Xenopus tropicalis: one gene and its partners. The protein of the gene in region 4 purifies or fractionates together with the protein of the main gene of each other region. This does not show direct contact. Links are inferred from orthologs where the notes say so. Each region holds a gene or a part of one and is shown on either strand. Other genes may lie near its edges.

Region 1 (5,341 bases), on a different chromosome or scaffold from region 4:
GTCAAAAAAGTCTGCACCAAAAACTGTATTTAAAAAAAAAAAAAATATTAATCTGCTTTGATAAGGTATTTCTGTACATACAAAAAATTAATAAAAAGAGAAGTGTGCCTTTAAGGTATTCTTTTGGTCAATTCTTCCAGTACTTTCTCCTGCTGTCAATGGAAAGCAGCCCATAGCTTTTCCACAAAAATCTGATTGCTACTACAACAAAGCAGCTTTTGTGCCATATGCCTTTAAATCATATCATACTTAAACTATTCATACACCTAAAGATCTGCTTGTTTGGCAAGAGTTTTCCCCTTTATGCCCATCTTAAGCAGGGTGCTGTCAGGCTGATCTGATCATTTGGCCCTCGAGCCAATGATCAAATTATAAATATGCAGGCCATCAGAAGAGGACTGCATCAAAGGGCTGATCCTGTCCTTGCTAAGACAGCAAAATCAAGCCTGCTCGATTGCTATCAGGATTTTTAATCATATAATATTGCTCCTATATACAGCCAATAAGCTGCTGAGCTGGTGTGGAAGGACAGAGTATGGTCACCTTAAGTGATTTTTCAAGAGCAATATATATCTCCCCTGAAGGCTAACTGGCAATCATTTCTACTGAATTCAACCTGCAGTGATTCAGCGCCTGAGTTGGAGAGCCTCCAGACACAGAAAATGCTGACCATCACTATGCATTATGCCCACCATATTTTAAAATATCACTAAATCATTCATAAACAGGCATAAAACAAACACAGAGATACTAAAATGCATATTTTAATATTTAATGAATAATTCATGTGTAATGAATAATCAACAGGAGACATTCAAATTCAGGATAAAGCTCCCAAAGTGCGATTGCTTCTATCAAGTACAAGTATGGGATCCCTTATCTGGAAACCCATTATCCAGAAAGCTCCGAATTACGGAAAGCCCGTCTCCCATAGACTCCATTTTAATCAAATAATTCAGAATTTGAAAACTGATTTCCTTTTTCTCTGCAGTAATAAAGCAGTACATTGTAATTGATCCTAATAAGATATAAATATTCCTTTTTGGATGCAAAACAATCCTATTGGGTTTAATTAATGTTTTATTGATTTTTTAGTAGACTTAAGGTATGGAGATCCAAATTATGGATCCAAATTACGGAAAGACCTCTAATCCGCCATACCCTTGGTCCCGAGTATTCTGGATAACGGGTCCTATACCTGTAAAGTAAAGAAGTCAACGTTAGCAAACTAAATGCTTAAATATTGATCCTTCCTACACACAATTCACATGGTCTCTAATTTTCATACAAATTGCTGACACAATAGATTGTACAATAATTTGCTTAGCAGTTCATATTCAGGACCAATTCTCAGGGAGGACAGGCAACGTCCTGCATGAGTCGCAGTATCTCCCAGTATTTTTTTCATAACGAAAGCAAATCGCGATTCTCTGGGACATAAGAGCAATTGCTGAACTATAACCAGAATATTATTTTCCAGAGTCATGCAGCGCCTGTGTATAGAAGTAAGGCGCTACGCCCCTGTCTGACTGCGACTCCTGCCAGCCTAGTTTTCACACTTTTACCTGTAATTATTTGCGTTAAAGGAGATTAGTCTTATCACGCAGATTCCAAACTACAGTACAATCAATGCCTTCCGCAGCTCTGGTTAAACCTTTACTTCCTGTTCATGCCGATTGCCACATTCACAATCATTAAGTAACCGTGACCGGGCACGCTAGGACTGGAGTTCCCATTGTGTGCCAAATTAAAAAATGGCGTCCGTAGAACTGTGTTGTTCTCACAACCTGGAAGTGATGTCATTGTTTATGTCTCGATCCCTGAGACAAGCTGATACGGAGTTATGGGAGAGTGAGAAGGCAGCTTTTTGGAATTGTTAGGATTATAAGCTTGTTGTATTGCTGCCAGTATTGCACTGTTATCCTCCTACCGAAACCCGACTAATGGAAGGGCTGAATCTCCGCGGCAACACTGAGCATGGACTTCAGATACAGCTGATTAACGTGGCTTGAAGGCCTTTAATAGAAATACGCAATATTGTGTGACTTTGGCAATACCCAGTGTGTTGGGTGAATGGTTAAATGAATGACGAGTTTAAGATGGATAAGTAATGGTCAATAGTTATGCATGCGAATCAAACAGACAAGCTAAGTGTGTGCATGACATGTGCAGGTTGTGTATGTTAGTTCTGGGTACTTAAATTAGCACCTAAATTCTGCTTAGGGTGACAGAGTTAATAGGGCTGTGTGATCTCCCATTCAGTAGTAATCATGCCTTGGCCCTTCTCTGAGTCCATCAAGAAAAGGGCCTGCAGGTACCTGCTGCAACGATATCTAGGGCACTTTCTTCAGGAAAAACTCAGCCTGGAACAGCTCACTTTGGACTTGTATCAAGGCACTGGCTCTCTGTCACAAGTTCCCTTGGACAAATGGGTAAGCCATGTAAATGACAATGTCTGAAATGCATTGATTGAAAATGAATTATCTTTCTATAAACATGGTGTTATAACAGTGGCACATAGTAATCTTAACAGAGTTAAAGGGGAATGGCCATAGACATAAAAATGCACCCATACTGTTGTAGATGCTCAATATTTAATTGTCTTAAAGAGGTGATTTAGATTTTTTGGTATAGTTTTTGAGATAAATGGTGCATTCATGTAACATTTATTGCTACAAACAGCTCAACCATTCTGTTTGTTAGTGCATTGCAGTTTACTGGAATGACGTTGAAGAATTCACAAATAAATTGGTAAATATGTGTATGTAAAAGTATAATAAAGACTATTAGTGAAACACATTTCAGTAGCCGTGTGTTATCCCTGCTTGAGAGAACATACCAGTTTAGTTCTTTATTATTGTTTTTTTTTTTCCAGTTGAAAGTGTTTCTAAGGGTAAAGACACACACTGGGCTACTAGTAGCAGCTACTTTTTCAAGGCTACTGATCTCCAGAAAATACCCTGCCATAGACAATACTGAGAATTTCCTCTGCTAAAGCACACGTAGAGACAATTATCAGTAAATGGTCAGCATTGTCTTTTTTTAGTAGCCACGACAAGTAGCTGCTACTAGTAGCTCTGTGTGTCTTCACCCTTAGTACCTTCTTGTCTATTCAGTAGCCCTTAAGTTCACACATTATGTTTTGTCACATTTTTCTGATGAAGTAACAAGGAGTAAATACAGAGAACTGTCCAATGTCATCTCTTATCATTAGCATGGTACACCTTAACAGTTGTAATTGTCCTCTAATTTTGCTGAAGCTACTTTTCTTCTACCCATTCAACTTGCTGGTTTGACTTCTTCTTCATTTGTGTTCTGTTTTGATTGATGGCATGGTGCAGCAAGATCAAAGGTTCCCAGCAGGAAAAGGGTTAAATTGGCTTGGTTTATTGCCACTTAGACTGAACTAGCAAGCTTTCTAATATTTCAAGAAAGGGCTGTAGTTGCTTAAAGCACAAGCACAAGCACACACATTCTTTTACATTCCTCCAAATCAAAATTTAAGGTACTTTATCTAATAATGTTCTGAATCATTGTTTGAAAGTGTTAGATTGTGGAATGTATTGAATCAATGAGTACTCCACTGTCCAATACTTAAGGCAGATACCTAACTTCTTGTTAAATTCAGGTTTTTTTGCAAAATAAGCTCATATTATACTATTTTATGCCTCCCTCTTGATATTTTACTGCATTTACTGAAGTGTTTTTCAGCCCTATGGAAACTAAAGACATTACTTTTCAGCAATATATATTTCCTATATATATATATTTCCTATTTTGTATGCTTAGACTTTACCAATCACTGAAACTTTGTTAATTAAGCTCATTTTTAATTGTATACATTGAGGAAAATAACTGATTAAGCACGTTTGATTTTTAACAAAAATCTCTTTTTTTATGAAGGTAAACTCTCAACCCACTTTTTTTTATTATTGAAATATTTAGAAAACGTTTTGGAATTTGAATGGAATGCAATTAGTTTCTAGAAATTAGTTTTCTATTTGATTGGTGCTTTACAACAATTGTAGTATTAATAGTTCCTTAAATAATAATTTTCTAATTACAGGTTTATTATAATGAAGTGTTGTAATATCACACATGAAGCAATGTGAACTATGCATTTATTATACTATTTTTCTATCTAGAGTCTAAATGAAATACTGGAGTCAGCAGATGCACCTTTGGAGGTTACAGAAGGTTTTATACAAGCCATCTCTCTCTCCATTCCATGGGGCTCCTTACTGCAGGATAATTGTGCACTTGAAGTGAAGGGACTCGAGATGGTCTTCAGGCCAAGACCTCGGCTAAGTAAGTAAACTTTTCATGATGATTTTTTATACTAGAAAAAACTGGAAAACGATAAGTAAAAGCAATATGTATATTATGAAGTGAAGTAGTTACTTTGTAGCACTCATAATTATGTGATGTGTGTTTTGTAGCAGGGGCACCAAGTAGTGTTTTGTTAATGAATATGTCTTTCATTTACTCAATATTGTCAGCAGATTAAGAATTTGGAAGCGGTTTAATGCAGACAAAGGTGGGTTAGGCACAAGGCTTCCTTGCGTAAAGTTGTCACCAGTGGTAGAGGACACATTCAGAGCTGCAAAAGATATAGCGTGACACAGACAGTTTGTCTTTCAGCAGAACTGTTTATGCTGGTAGTGGTATTATCTCCAAATCGCTCAACTGTCTTAAAGGAGAAGTAAAGGCTAATAAAGAGTTAATCTCAAACTGCAGGCGTACCTTCAGTTCTCTCAATAGTGCCCTTAAGTCTCCCCATATTTCACCCGTTCAGATGATCAGAAGCCTCATAGGAAAAAAAAAAAAAACGCTGAGCTCTGTAAAGAAAGTTCCCATAATGCCTCGCTCCTGCACCAAGACCGTTGTACATGCTCAGTGTGTAAGACTATGAGGAAGCTTCTTGCTGTTTGGCTCAGATCCACATTCCTAAGGGGGGGGGAGTGAGTTCTTAGCATTCTTGAGGGAGTGGGGAGCAGGAGAGGGGAGAGAGCTGCATGTCTCTGGCACAGGAAAACAAACAGACAAGAAATCCTGTTTCTTTTGAAAGAGAACGCTGTGCAGCATTTCTGTAAGTACTTATGGCTGTATTTAGTAATCTAGTTTTTATCTTTCCTTCTCCTTTAAGGCTAAATTTTGTCATAATACAACTATAATGGGGAGATTTATCAATGTTCATGTTTGATTCTTTTTTAGGATTCAAGTTTTTTGTGCTAAAAAAAAACTTGAAATCAAATTATTTTTTAAAAACTCGAATGTCTGGTATTACCCGAAAACTTGAATGTAAAAATTTGCCCTCTAAAAGCTTGCGAGTTTCTGTAGA
Region 2 (5,420 bases), on a different chromosome or scaffold from region 4:
AGGGCTCAATGGCACTCTGCAGCTCCAACCCGGCCCAAGGAAAGTCTCCCATAGGGCTCAATGGCACTCTGCAGCTCCAACCCGGCCCAAGGAAAGTCACCATACCGAAGCTTGAATGAATCCAAAACTTTCGTACTTGTTACGACAAATATGATTTTCTTGCGCAAATTCTTGCAAAGTACGGAAATATTGCAGAACATACGCAAAAGTTGTAAACTTTAGAAAAAATACTTATTTTTTTTGTAATCGGACCTGTTGTACCTGATGAATGTGCCCCTAAGTGTTAGCAAGGCACAGGGAGGGAGATGGAGCAGTGCTGGCGGAGGCAAAGTAAAAATGGCCTTCTGCATGACTGTATGAGGTGCAGACTAATTGGAATTGACTATTTAGAAATAGAACCAGGACAAAATATGCATCTTGTTGGTAATTTACCTAAAAAATATTTCCTAAAGTTGCAGCAATCAAGTGTCCACAGGAGGCGTACGGAGGAGTCACAAACAGCTGGTAACAGTTACATAAGTAGGTTTCGTTTATTTAGCACCTGGTGCTAGTGTCACACACCAAGTTTGTTTATTTTAATCCAGAGCAGAGATATTACAGCGGCTCAAATGCCTCCCCATTCTGGTAACTTAAATTTTGCCGTCTGAAGCGAGATTCTCAAGTTCTCATTACAGCTGCGCCCCTGGACAGCATAGAGCAGGGGCAAGAAGGTGGGAAGGGGTTAAACTAGGGAAAACTCCATTGACCCCCAATAATCTGCATGACTTATTAGCACATTAATCAGTGGAACTCTTTGTATGAACTGCGTATTAGCAGCTGTTTATATTGCACATATTGGCCACAATTTTGGCACTGTGCACTTTTGTTCATGGGGGGGCCCCATATAAATAGTTTTGGGGAGGCCCTGTAGGCCATACCTCTCAACTGTCCCGATTTTCGCGGGACAGTCCCTCTTTAGACAGCTCAACCCGCAGTCCCAGATTCTTACTGAAAAGTCCCTCATTTCCCTTTGATCTCCTGCACTGAAGCTAAAAAAGATACAAATATAATTAAAAGTAGCTTTTGGCAGAAAGCCCAGAAATCTTAACGAGCCTCACTTGCATTTAGATACATTGTTTCTCGCTTTTAATGAATAAGGCTGATGCCACACGCATCAAACGCTTGCTGAAAATTCAGCCCTACCGCCTGCTACTTGTGCCTGCGCCCGAATGAATGGAATACGCTCGGGTGCAGGCACATGTAGCCGATATACTCATGAAAAAGCAAGACTTTGCATTCTCACGCCTTTTCATGCGTATATCGGCAGGCGTAGGGCTGAATTTTAAAAATAAGCCCTACGCCGAGTGTGGCATCAGCCTAAAGTGGGCTTTTTGGCAGAGAGCCCAGAAAGGTAAAAAGCCCCCCCCAGATACAATTGTAACTAATAAGCTAAACAGGTCTCTTGGGGGAACTGAGACTCACACCTTAAAGGGCAATTTCACCTTTTTCAGCAAAATTGTAATACACATAAAACAGGACCCCAAAACCCCCAGAAATGTGTTTAAACTTTAAATAACCTGTCAAATTTAGTCAAATGGGAGTGGTATTTAGGGGGTGTGGTCGCAAAAATGGGCGTGGTCAAAAATATTCTGCGGCGCTGTGCGCATTTATTTTTGACCCACTTTTCATTTTCAAAATGTTGGGAGCTATACTGTAGGTAACAATACATAACACACACTTGACCCTCTCCTATACTGCCTTGCTGCCAAATCCTTACTGCCAGGAGCAAAATTTGTAGTTTGAAGTAGCTGGAAAGAGGGAACTACCATACAGAATCCCCTTGTATAGTTGCTATGCCACTGATTTTGGAGGTAAATTTCCTATTTCTGTTGCGTTTTTGGCAATTAAGGGGTGCCTAGAAGTTAGTCAAGGTAGATAATTGTATATAAATAGGGGAGCAGGTTATAGAGGAGAAAGGTTGTGGCATGACAGCCAGTGGAAAGAGGTCAGAAATGGAAAAGCAAATACAAGACAAAAGTACATATTGGTTTGTGTAATAAAGCTTTTTTTAAAAAAAGAAAAAAAAAACCCTATCCTGATTGGCTGCAAAGTGTTCGCCCAAGTCGCTTTGCCTGACGTCAGTTAAATGCGCCCCGCTACTTGACAATGTTTAGAAAACCGAAGCGAGCGATTCGTGTGAGGAAAGCGGAGTCCAGCGAGGAAGAGGAGCGGGAAGAAGAGAGTGAGCAACCCCGGGCCAGGGAGCAGAGGAGGCCAGCCGGCCGCGGCTTATTTTGTGGGACTGAGCGAGGGAAGAGGGCCGAAGCGGCGCAGGGAGACGGGGCTGGGAGTGATGCGGCGCGGAGAGACGGGGCTGGGAGTGATGCGGCGCGGAGAGACGGGGCTGGGAGTGATGCGGCGCGGAGAGACGGGGCTGGGAGTGATGCGGAAGGGGAACCGGATCCCAGTGAAACAGTCGGGACTGCTCCTGTGGAACCCGAATTCTCTATTCGCTTTACAGCCCCGCCCACCCTGCTGAGCTTCGCTGAGGAGAGAGAAGGTGAGGCAAAACTCTGCCCTTGGCCCCAGCTGAACCCAGAGTGGGAAACAAGTCATTCCTTATTCCCTGCCCGGTAGCTCATTCCTTGCCCTGTGCCCCAGGCAGTACAAATATCCCACACTTGGTACCAACACATTGACTTTTCCTTATGAAGAGGGACGTTATAACACAGGGGTTGGCCTCAGTCTCCCACAATATGTTGGAAATTCTCCTGCAATGGCAGGGTCTGGTTATCCGTATTCAGTTACAGTCCTGTTGACTTAGAGATGAAAATCCACTGAGTAGCAATATGCCCCATGTGCCTTTGCCCTTGGCATTTTCTGTATATAAATCACCGTTATCTAAACTATGCCCGGCCATTCTATTGTTGTGTTAAACTGCAGCTCAAACAATCAAGTGCCAGCAATTGTTGTACAACAGTTGAAGGACTGAAAGATGGGCATTCTTGTTTGTATTTTTTTGCCCTCTTCAGTTTTGTTCCCCAGCCATCCTCCATTGCCCACGTCTGGCTTGTATTATGCCATGTATCTAAAGCTTACAATCCAATTTCCTAATTATTGATATGCCTATCGCTCATCAGTAGCAAGTTCCCCTCCTTGTATGGTCACCTGGTCTAATTCAGTTTGTACACATTTAGGGTAATGTCCTATGGAGAGATTAACAATAGAAAAAATGTTCAGCACACCACTTACACCAGTGATCCCCAACCAGTAGCTCGTGAGCAACACATTGCTCCCCAACCCCTTGGATGTTGCTCTCAGTGCCCCCAAACCAGGTAGTTATATTTGAATTCCTGACTTGGGGGCAAGTTTTGGTTGAGTATAAACAAGAATTACTACCAATAAAGCCCCCTGTAAGCTGATAGGGTGCATAGAGGCTGCCTAATAGCCAATCACAGCCCTTATTTGGCTCCTCCATGAACTTTTATGGTGCTTGTGTTGCTCCCCAAGTCTTTTTACATTTGTCTGTGGCTCACGAGTAAGAAAGGTTGGGGACCCCTGACTTACACACTTCCATAGGGTGCTTCAATTTCTCGGCTGCTCCTAAGCCATTCCATGTACTTTACAAAGGGAAGAAGCACACCAATTTGTCGGCCATGCCTTTCAACACATTTATTGCAGTGGCACAAACTTTCGGGGGTTACCCCCTTCTTCAGGTGCAATGAAGAAGAACCTGAAGAAGGGGGTAATGCCTGAAAGCTTGTGCCACTTACTTTCTGCAATAAATGTGTTGAAAGGCATGGCCGACAAATTGGTGTGCTTCTTCCCTATGCAGAGATTAGTCACCGGCGATAGATCTCTGCCACTGCAGGCGACTAATCTCTGCGAAGTGCCTTTCCGCCAGCAACAAAGGGAAAAGGCATATGTGCCGCTTTGGTTTTCAGCAGTCTCTCAAAGGTGCCTGCAGAAAGGAAACTTTGTGCGACTTCGGAAAACCAAAGCGATGCCTATGCCTTTCCACCATCTACTCCCTTTGTTGCTGATGGGAAGGAGAGATTAGTCGCCCGTGATAGATCTCTGCTACCGCAGGTGACTAATCTCTCCATAGGACATTACCCTAAGAGAGTGGATAGCAAACTGAGTTTCTGCCCCCCATGAGGAACATAAATGACAAACCGCCTCGGGGGGGGGGGCAGAAGGCTGGAACTAAATAGAATATTAGTTTGGTGACATAGATAGTCACAGAAGCCCAATGTCAAGGTCAGTAAGAACAAAGTTTATTTGCTGTACTGGAAATCATTAGAACTATTGCTGTTAAAGGAGAAGGAAAGTCATTTTGGCATTTTACTGCCAACAGATTAGCCACATTAGTGCCACCTAGAACACTATATGTATTCTGCAGAAAGCTTTACCATGTCTGAGTAAAGAGCCCTAGAAGCTCCCTCTGTTTGTTTGAGATTGCAGCTGCCGTTTTAGCTTGGTCTCCGTAGCTTCCGTGCTGCAGCTCTAGCTGCTGGTAGCTCAGATCACACACTCTTTTATGGGAGGGGAAGTGAATTGTTATGAATTTTGATGGGAGGGGGATTGAATTGTTATGAATTTTGATGGGAGGGGGAGCAAAAAAACCGAGAGGTAAGGAGAGAGCTTCGCAGACTTTTGTCCATGCCCTGAAGGAACTCTAAAGGACAGGAAGTCTGATACTTAAGAGGATGTTTATAAAAAGAAACACAGGATTTCTTATACAATTGTTGCACCTTAAGGCTGTGAATGCCAGGCTGTTTTAATTCGAACCCCTTTAAGTACACACATCTCTGCCTATTCTGTATGTACTCCAATGGCAGAAACCCTTTTCACTCTGTCTTTTATTTTAGGATTTGTGTGTAAGCCAAGGGTAGTGTTTAATATGTTTTCTTGGTAAAATGGCATTTATATCAGGATGCCTACAGCACAGAGCTTTGGGGGGAGCTGTTGTCCCCATTGAGCTGTCCCTCGAATCTCAAATTACTATACAAAGCATATAGTCCTAATATTTATCTTTTCCCTGTGAAGATGCAGACTTCAAGATCAAGAAGCCCAGTGTCAATGCAGTGGTATTTCAAGTGCAGAAAAAGACAGAAAAGAACTCCATAATTAAGTCCTATAAAAAAGGTAAATGTATTTCTATAATCCAGGAACATCCACCCCTTAGAATATAGTTATTAAACACCAGTTTGTTCCTTTCTATGTACAAGAATTGTTATATTATTTTTACAATCCATTACTGATCAGCATATTGTCTCTGGGTGAAGATAATGATATAAATACATACATGCATGTAGCCTACAGAGTCTACATATGTGTGTATCAAGTAGATTTGTTTCAGCACATTACTAATAGTGTATGGTGACTGATGTTTTGTTTTTGTTTGGGAAAAGAAAGAGCAGCCAAGACAGAAAGTGACA
Region 3 (4,638 bases), on a different chromosome or scaffold from region 4:
ACATGTTTGTTATGAGATGGCAAGCTGCCATACAGGATGCTATTCCGTTTCATCATTCTCTAACTGTCGCCTGAATAGCTGGGGTTATGTCTGGGCAGGAGAGAAGAACCTGGGTGTCATCTGTGAAACGGTGCTAGGTGAGGCCTAAAGCTGGCCATGCACTGTAAGGATTGATCTCCCGACCTGATCCAGATCAGAACTTCCCTGATTGATATCACTTGGGAAAAGTAGAATATGGGATACGCTGCTGCCAGTTAGTTGTATAGAGGCTGAATTAGCTGCCATTATCTCCCTTTAAATGTAACATTGCTTTAGTGTTTGGAGTACAGACTAGTAAATCAAATGCATAAAAATCTCATCTGATAATAAACATGTTTTTTCCTCAGATGAGGAAATCTTTAAAGTGAAAAAATCCAATCACAGCAAAAAAATTGTGAAGATGCTAAAAAAGGAATATAAAGACGATCTAGAGAAGACCAAGCCGAAGGCGTCCGGCAACAGTACAGTTGATGGTAAGAGTAATATTACAGTGTGATGTGGCTGGTCAGGGTGGGATATCTGTTCTGTTAGTGCAAGTGAATTTAATGGTAACCTTGCGGCACAGGTGACAGCTTTATGAACAGATCCCTGCCGCCTAAGGATGGAATCCAAGAGGACATTGCTGTGGGCAGCGATCTAGGGGAGGAGGAGATGGAAGTTGAAAGTGAAAAAGAAGAGGAAAAACCCAAAGCCGGCTCATTTACAAACGCAGTGTCTTCTCTGAATGTCCTCCGCCCAGGTAAGTGCCCTATATTTCTGTGGCATCTTTGCAGGTCCTCCCTAGCTGCCATTCCTTGCTACTGGGCACCAGAGGGGCACAAAACGGGCCTGGATCAAGATACTTGTTGGTACAGGTATAGGACCCGTTATCCAGAATGCTCGGGACCAAGGGTATTCCGGATAAGGGGTCTTTCTGTAATTTGGATCTCCATACCTTAAGTCTGCTAAAAAATCAATAAAACATTAATTAAACCCAATAGGACTGTTCTGCCCCCAATAAGGGGTAATTATATCTTAGTTGGGATCAAGTACAGGTACTGTTTTATTATTACAGAGAAAAGGGAATCATTTAACCATGAAATAAACCCAATAGGGCTGTTCTGCCCCCAATAAGGGGTAATTATATCTTAGTTGGGATCAAGTACAGGTACTGTTTTATTATTACAGAGAAAAGGGAATCATTTAACCATTAAATAAACCCAATAGGATTGTTCTGCCCCCAATAAGGGGTAATTATATCTTAGTTGGGATAAAGTACAGGTACTGTTTTATTATTACAGAGAAAAGGGAATCATTTAACCATTAAATAAACCCAATAGGGCTGTTCTGCCCCCAGTTGGGATCAATTACAAGGTACTGTTTTATTACTTCAGAGAAAACGGAATTCAGTTTTAAAATTCTGAATTATTTGATTTAAATGGATTCTATGGGAGACGGGCTTTCCGTAATTCGGAGCTTTCTGGATAACGGGTTTCCGGGTAAGGGGTCCGATACCTGTACAACTAAAAGCAAACAATTGTCTACTGATGGCCTCTGGCCGGAGCCCCCCTGGCCTGACTCTTGTGCTTGTTAAAGGGGTTGTTCATTTTTAATTCAACTTTTAGGATGTCTTTTTCTTAGCATCCTTGCCATTGGTCTTTATTATTCTTTATAGTTTTTTAATTATTTGTTATGGTCTTCTGCTTCTTTCCTTCTTGCAAATAGTTTAGTCCCTTTCCTATTCATATTCCAGCCTCTCATTTAAACCACTGACTGTTTGCTAGGGGTGAACAAGACCATAGCAGCCACCTAGATGCTGGCATGCCAAACTGGAGAGCTGCTGAGCAAAAAGCTAAATAATTTAAAAACCACAACAGATAAAACATGAAGACCAATTGCAAACTGTCTCAGAAAATCAATGTCTGTCATAAAGGTGAACAACCCCTTCAAGGGGCAATATTAATGGGAAATGTAACAATTTTTATAATCACATTTTTTGTTCAAAACTGATTATTGTTTTATATGTTTGTACCTTAAAGTGATACTGACATTAAAAATGTAGTCCTCAAAATAATGGTGTACATCAAAAGTTAGCTATGGGTTATACTGATTGTTTTTTGCCCAGGTGTCTGCTTATTTAGTAAAGTTACATGATGTCTAAAACCCGACTGTTTTGCAAACCCGACTGGCACTTCTCAACCTGTCAATTACTGTTTCACTTCACTGATATCAGCTGGGCGGTTCTATTCCCCTTACTTCCTTGCAGTCTGTGCCTCCCCCACATCAAAGACATCAAGATACTTTCACGGAGCGCTGCCTGTAAGTGTCTTCTCAATAAATCTTTGCACCAGAGCTATACTAATTAGTCCTGCTGTGATTTATTATTTGAAAGGAATGCGCTCCCATATAGATAAAAAGTATACACTCTGCGTGTGTCTGCTATAGAGCATACATGACAGAGAGGGCCAGTTCAAAGGGTATCAGAGAAAATATGCTTAGAAAGGGATACAAATACCTCATTCCTAAACACCACTGTTCACTGTTGTACTTCAGCATTAAAAGATTTCATTAGAAATAGTTTGTATGTGCAGCACTGATTCCGATTGGCTAGGATTTTTAAACTAAAATTAAGGGGAGTGTTTTCAAACAACAACAAACTGCTACTGCCCAAACATGGCAGCCCCCTCAGAGAGGAACCCATGAGACCAGAATGGCATTGTAAAAGTGATAGCTATATGGTTATAGGTTGAAATTAAAGAGATAATACAATGATAAAGCAAATGAAAGGTTTAAAAAACATAATTATTTTTGGTGTCAGTATTACTTTAAAACCGCCAGATATAGTGGAATCCTTTGAGCACACACTCACTGGAGTGCTTGATTCTCTATTCTTTTCTACATGGGCTGCAGCCTCAGCAATTGCCAATTTGTTTTTCTCCAGGAGAGATACCAGACGCTGCGTTCATCCATGCAGCGCGTAAGAAGAGACAGATGGCTCGAGAACTTGGAGATGCCCCATCTGTAGATGGTGAGGGGGGTGGTAAAAGCCGACTGGTGCGTGAAGATGAAAACGACGCAAGTGATGATGAAGATGATGATAAGAGGCGAATAGTCTTTTCCGTTCGAGAGAAATCTCAGAGGCAGAAAATAGCGGAGGAAATTGGTAAGTGTTGCTGTTTCCCTGTGTGATAGATGTAGGGAGTGTGTGGGGGGTCATAATATTATATCTCATAATATACTGTAGGTAATGTTTAACACAAGGAGTACACTACACAACTGTGCAAACAGACCCCCCCACACACTCCCTACAATAGAAACCTTCAGTAATATTCAAATGGCCAGTAAGGGAAGGTTTTTGGCACTTTGGTTTGCATTTTTATTTAGAAACATAATGCCGAAAAGTGCCCATTTGCCTAACTGGCATTCTTGTGGAATTAAATTGGGTAAATTGGTACAACTTTTCCACAGTTGAGCTTGTTTTTTACCTTTAGTTGCATTTGGCTCTTGCTAATAAAGGAATGTTTTTTTCCCACCTAATTTTCTATTATTTTTACAGGAATAGAAGGAAGTGATGATGAGGCTTTAGCAACGGGAGACCAAGATGAAGAGCTCAGCCGCTGGGAGCAGGAACAGATTCGGAAGGGAATTAGTATTCCGCAGGCATGTATTACAGACATCACTGTTGAACAAAGAATAGATTGTCAGCACCTCTGGCAGATTCTTGTGTGCAGAAAACACAGCTGCCTAGGATCTCTTGCTTTATGACTTACTAAATCTTAATACCCTTATTATATCATTTATGTTTCAGATATAGTATTTTTAATATAAAGGATCTGTGCCCGAACATGGACCAAACACAAGTGTTCACAATTTATAGGGATGAATTATCAGAAACCGTTCTGTAACCATTAATCTTGCAGATTTCTCTAAAACACAATTGTACTGCCTTCATCAAGGCAGTTTAGCTACAGCATTTAGCATTGGCTGTTAGTAGACATTGGAACAGGAACCTGATGGTTTCATGTAGTCTGTATGAGCCAGGTCTATTCTTTTCAATTGTACCTGGATTTTCCTATTCAGCTTGCCTTTCTGCTCTCAATCCCTAGGTGCTGCCTCATACCCAGAGACACATAAGATAGCAAGATCTGCATTCCAGTGATGGAAAACAGAAGGAATTCTGTTCACTATCATTGGAACAGTGGGGATAGATGTATTCTTGTTGATGTATTATTGCCCTTAGACACCTGACTTGTGCTCTGGTAAACTTTCTGCACTGCACGTTTGAGTGATGTTGCCCCCTCATCATTTCCCTAGCAGCCAATCAGCAGAACAGTGGGAATATAACAGCTCCCTGATACTTGCTCCCATGCCCCACCTAGTTGTGGGTATGAGATAAGCACTTGATGGTCCGACCATGACTCCTCCAGTTACATTGAGTAAGAGAAACAATAACTTATCTGAAAGCAGTTGCATTGTGAAGTGCTGACTCTTTCTGAAAGGGCAGAATCAGGCAGAAGGACCTGACATGGCTGCCTACATACCAGTGTTATAACTTAAAAAAAAATTATTTGTTCAAGCATAAAATTTTAAATGGTAGAATTACTTGCAATGTACACGGTG
Region 4 (4,638 bases):
TGACAGTTCTGTCTGCAAATGAATAAAGGGCAATTACATAACATGTTTAACTCTGAGCCATAGAGACTGTGGGCAGAGAGTATCGGTGCCGGGGCCTGTCTGTCCTGCTGAGAATTAAGGAAATAAACAGAACAATCATTCTGCATACGGGGCAAATGGGTCAGATTTGGACTCAAACTTCCCCATCATTCTGCTGCTTGTAAGGGTTTGTCTGATCCCCCCCATTGTAAGCAGCAGTCCTGCCCTGCTTTATGGCTGAGATTCTAGCTATCTGTATAACAGAGCATTCTGTCACAGTGGCACAGATCCTATCTGATCCCCCCATTGTAAGCAGCAGTCCTGCCCTGCTTTATGGCTGAGATTCTAGCTATCTGTATAACAGAGCATTCTGTCACAGTGACACAGATCCTATCTGATCCCCCCATTGTAAGCAGCAGTCCTGCCCTGCTTTATGGCTGAGATTCTAGCTATCTGTATAACAGAGCATTCTGTCACAGTGGCACAGATCCTATCTGATCCCCCCATTGTAAGCAGCAGTCCTGCCCTGCTTTATGGCTGAGATTCTAGCTATCTGTATAACAGAGCATTCTGTCACAGTGGCACAGATCCTATCTGATCCCCCCATTGTAAGCAGCAGTCCTGCCCTGCTTTATGGCTGAGATTCTAGCTATCTGTATAACAGAGCATTCTGTCACAGTGGCACAGATCCTATCCCCCCCATTGTAAGCAGCAGTCCTGCCCTGCTTTATGGCTGAGATTCTAGCTATCTGTATAACAGAGCATTCTGTCACAGTGGCACAGATCCTATCTGATCCCCCCATTGTAAGCAGCAGTCCTGCCCTGCTTTATGGCTGAGATTCTAGCTATCTGTATAACAGAGCATTCTGTCACAGTGGCACAGATCCTATCTGATCCCCCCCATTGTAAGCAGCAGTCCTGCCCTGCTTTATGGCTGAGATTCTAGCTATCTGTATAACAGAGCATTCTGTCACAGTGGCACAGATCCTATCTGATCCCCCCATTGTAAGCAGCAGTCCTGCCCTGCTTTATGGCTGAGATTCTAGCTATCTGTATAACAGAGCATTCTGTCACAGTGGCACAGATCCTATCTGATCCCCCCCATTGTAAGCAGCAGTCCTGCCCTGCTTTATGGCTGAGATTCTAGCTATCTGTATAACAGAGCATTCTGTCACAGTGGCACAGATACTATCTGATCCCCCCATTGTAAGCAGCAGTCCTGCCCTGCTTTATGGCTGAGATTCTAGCTATCTGTATAACAGAGCATTCTGTCACAGTGGCACAGATCCTATCTGATCCCCCCCATTGTAAGCAGCAGTCCTGCCCTGCTTTATGGCTGAGATTCTAGCTATCTGTATAACAGAGCATTCTGTCACAGTGGCACAGATCCTATCTGATCCCCCCCATTGTAAGCAGCAGTCCTGCCCTGCTTTATGGCTGAGATTCTAGCTATCTGTATAACAGAGCATTCTGTCACAGTGGCACAGATCCTATCTGATCCCCCCATTGTAAGCAGCAGTCCTGCCCTGCTTTATGGCTGAGATTCTAGCTATCTGTATAACAGAGCATTCTGTCACAGTGGCACAGATCCTATCTGATCCCCCCCATTGTAAGCAGCAGTCCTGCCCTGCTTTATGGCTGAGATTCTAGCTATCTGTATAACAGAGCATTCTGTCACAGTGGCACAGATCCTATCTGATCCCCCCCATTGTAAGCAGCAGTCCTGCCCTGCTTTATGGCTGAGATTCTAGCTATCTGTATAACAGAGCATTCTGTCACAGTGGCACAGATCCTATCTGATCCCCCCCATTGTAAGCAGCAGTCCTGCCCTGCTTTATGGCTGAGATTCTAGCTATCTGTATAACAGAGCATTCTGTCACAGTGGCACAGATCCTATCTGATCCCCCCATTGTAAGCAGCAGTCCTGCCCTGCTTTATGGCTGAGATTCTAGCTATCTGTATAACAGAGCATTCTGTCACAGTGGCACAGATCCTATCTGATCCCCCCCCCCATTGTAAGCAGCAGTCCTGCCCTGCTTTATGGCTGAGATTCTAGCTATCTGTATAACAGAGCATTCTGTCACAGTGGCACAGATCCTATCTGATCCCCCATTGTAAGCAGCAGTCCTGCCCTGCTTTATGGCTGAGATTCTAGCTATCTGTATAACAGAGCATTCTGTCACAGTGGCACAGATCCTATCCCCCCCATTGTAAGCAGCAGTCCTGCCCTGCTTTATGGCTGAGATTCTAGCTATCTGTATAACAGAGCATTCTGTCACAGTGGCACAGATCCTATCTGATCCCCCCATTGTAAGCAGCAGTCCTGCCCTGCTTTATGGCTGAGATTCTAGCTATCTGTATAACAGAGCATTCTGTCACAGTGGCACAGATCCTATCTGATCCCCCCCCCCCATTGTAAGCAGCAGTCCTGCCCTGCTTTATGGCTGAGACTCTAGCTATCTGTATAACAGAGCATTGTGTAATATTGGCATTTAGGGTGCTGGGAGTTGTGCACACAACACATACAGTATATATACAATACAATGTAAGTGTCATTTATTGTACTATGTGCCACTAAGATTTCTTATTTTGCATTTTAGTGGTCTTACGTGGTGGCCACAATCACCGAGATCCCCCCACTCTTCCTGCTCCCCAATTTTCTTGTCCAACGCAAAGTCCTCAAACCGCTGAGGTTCCAGACGGGAGGCACCATCATGGTGAGTGGGACTCAGACAGGATTTGATAGGATCAGCTCCTCATATAGACTCACTAGGCACTTCTATGTGCCAATAAACTCGTGTCAGCCTCTAGCGCCCCCTACAGGATGAATACCCACGGAAGCTGTTCCTGTCTGTTTGTATATGTCTTTTTATGTGTTTATATATATATATTAGGGATGCAACAAATCCATTATTTTTGGTTCGGCCGAATATCTATATATATATGATATAATGAATAAAGTGCCCCCTATTGTAAAATATAAGGATATTGTAAGTCACCTCAGAGTTCCATGACCTGTATAAATGCCTTCGGCCTCGTGCTTTTATACAGGTCATGGAACTCCGAGGTGACATACAATATCCTTATATTTTACAACAGGGGGCACTTTACTAATTATACTATACAAGTTTTGAGTGAGTCATGTGACAGAAATGACATCACTAAACTCCGATTCTAACTGATGACATCACTGAGCACCGTTTATAAGGATATAATTTACAGTTCGGTCCCATAGGGAAATGACCCAACTGTATATTATATATATAAATCCCAAACTGAATCCTGGATTCGCTGTGTCCCTAACCCTAACGACTTGAATAAATGGGGTGCTAAACTGAACCCCCACACTTGCAGCCCCTCGTTAGTACAACATTACACTGCTGCCCACCAACAGGACTCCCAGAGCCCACAGTCCCACCCGTTCCGCCCCCAAACCAGTGTATTTATCCTGAATGAGATGGGGCGTCACTATGGGTATTTATCGGGGTGCTCTGTCCCCCCATTGGCAGAATATCTCCAATTCCCTCAGCAAAATGTTTCCTTATTAAAACAGAAATAACAGGTTTGTTCCTTTTCTCAGGCCGGAAAGCTGGCGATGGAGAGGGGGTGGGCAATCAATGTGGGTAAGTGGCGCCTTTCATTGGCCCAACTCATTTGGCCGATTTCTCTAGATGCCCATGTATTGTACAGCGCTGCGGAATATGTGGGTGCTCTCATGACATCATAATGTAATAATGTCTGTACTTCCTGTTTGGCCCCAGGTGGCGGCTTCCATCACTGTTCCGGCGACAGAGGCGGAGGATTCTGTGCGTACGCCGATATCACGTTGGCCATTAAGGTACCAGGGTGCCGTGCCAGGCAGAGGGTATCCCCTGTCCATTCCCAATGGGGCAAGAAGGCTGGCAAGTCTCCGAGTCTGGGGCGCAGAGTTGGTGTTAGGGGCAGAAAATCAGATAATTGCACAAGGAACATAATCTTAAATGTTACCAATCCTCCCTATACAACTGTCAGACTTACAGGCCTGTAACTCCCTGGTTGAGAATGTTATTCCCTTCTAAGTACTGGAATTTCACCAGTTTTCCTCCAATCAATAGGTACCGTACCTCTCGTAAGGGGGCGGGGTCTGAAAAATTCTAGTTCCCAGTTCCCCTCATAAATATTCTGCCTCTCCGGTGATTAGGAGCAATTCAGGGAATGTATTGGCTATTGGTTGCCAGGGTAACCGATTGATGCTAGATCTATGTTTTTGTATTATTTATGTTCCTTGTTAGTCCCACAGCTCCAGCTATTGAACCCTCTATTACTGTGTCCCCCAGTACTGAACAGGAATGTTAGGAAGAGAGCCCCCTAGGGAATGGGAAGGGTATTGCATGGCTGACAGATTTGTCCCTTATGTTTCTTCTTTCTTTTTGTCCCCATTTTCAGTTTCTGTTTGAGCGAGTGGAAGGGGTATCAAAGGCCACCATTATAGACCTGGATGCCCATCAGGTACCGGCTGCGTGTTGGCATGTCCGTCTGTCTGTCTGGCCATAAGATATGTATCACGTATGGGGGGGTCATCCAACAATCCGGCGAGTCAGGGAAAGGGCGGGTTATTTGTGCTGCGGTTCCGTAATCGCC

Evidence for each region.
Region 1: the proteins of hdac11 (region 4) and atg2b purify together in Homo sapiens (co-immunoprecipitation; 3 studies listed by BioGRID and IntAct, counting the BioPlex papers as one, with this or other methods). This does not show direct contact. The link is inferred for Xenopus tropicalis from reciprocal best matches to the Homo sapiens genes HDAC11 and ATG2B.
Region 2: the proteins of hdac11 (region 4) and gcfc2 purify together in Homo sapiens (co-immunoprecipitation; 3 studies listed by BioGRID and IntAct, counting the BioPlex papers as one, with this or other methods). This does not show direct contact. The link is inferred for Xenopus tropicalis from reciprocal best matches to the Homo sapiens genes HDAC11 and GCFC2.
Region 3: the proteins of hdac11 (region 4) and paxbp1 purify together in Homo sapiens (co-immunoprecipitation; 3 studies listed by BioGRID and IntAct, counting the BioPlex papers as one, with this or other methods). This does not show direct contact. The link is inferred for Xenopus tropicalis from reciprocal best matches to the Homo sapiens genes HDAC11 and PAXBP1.

What each region holds. Positions count from the first base shown.
Region 1 is NC_030684.2:89,146,538-89,151,878, reverse strand, and holds the start of atg2b (autophagy-related protein 2 homolog B), read left to right. Parts: upstream 1-1,853; 5' UTR 1,854-2,270; coding exon 2,271-2,432; intron 2,433-4,145; coding exon 4,146-4,308; intron 4,309-5,341. UniProt on the Homo sapiens protein: Lipid transfer protein required for both autophagosome formation and regulation of lipid droplet morphology and dispersion.
Region 2 is NC_030681.2:145,848,728-145,854,147, reverse strand, and holds the start of gcfc2 (GC-rich sequence DNA-binding factor 2), read left to right. Parts: upstream 1-2,086; 5' UTR 2,087-2,145; coding exon 2,146-2,539; intron 2,540-5,028; coding exon 5,029-5,127; intron 5,128-5,393; coding exon 5,394-5,420.
Region 3 is NC_030678.2:15,091,881-15,096,518, forward strand, and holds part of paxbp1 (PAX3- and PAX7-binding protein 1), read left to right. Parts: intron 1-386; coding exon 387-512; intron 513-604; coding exon 605-778; intron 779-2,959; coding exon 2,960-3,181; intron 3,182-3,574; coding exon 3,575-3,678; intron 3,679-4,638. UniProt on the Homo sapiens protein: Adapter protein linking the transcription factors PAX3 and PAX7 to the histone methylation machinery and involved in myogenesis.
Region 4 is NC_030680.2:152,345,827-152,350,464, forward strand, and holds part of hdac11 (histone deacetylase 11), read left to right. Parts: intron 1-2,618; coding exon 2,619-2,735; intron 2,736-3,598; coding exon 3,599-3,641; intron 3,642-3,779; coding exon 3,780-3,856; intron 3,857-4,443; coding exon 4,444-4,506; intron 4,507-4,638. UniProt on the Homo sapiens protein: Responsible for the deacetylation of lysine residues on the N-terminal part of the core histones (H2A, H2B, H3 and H4).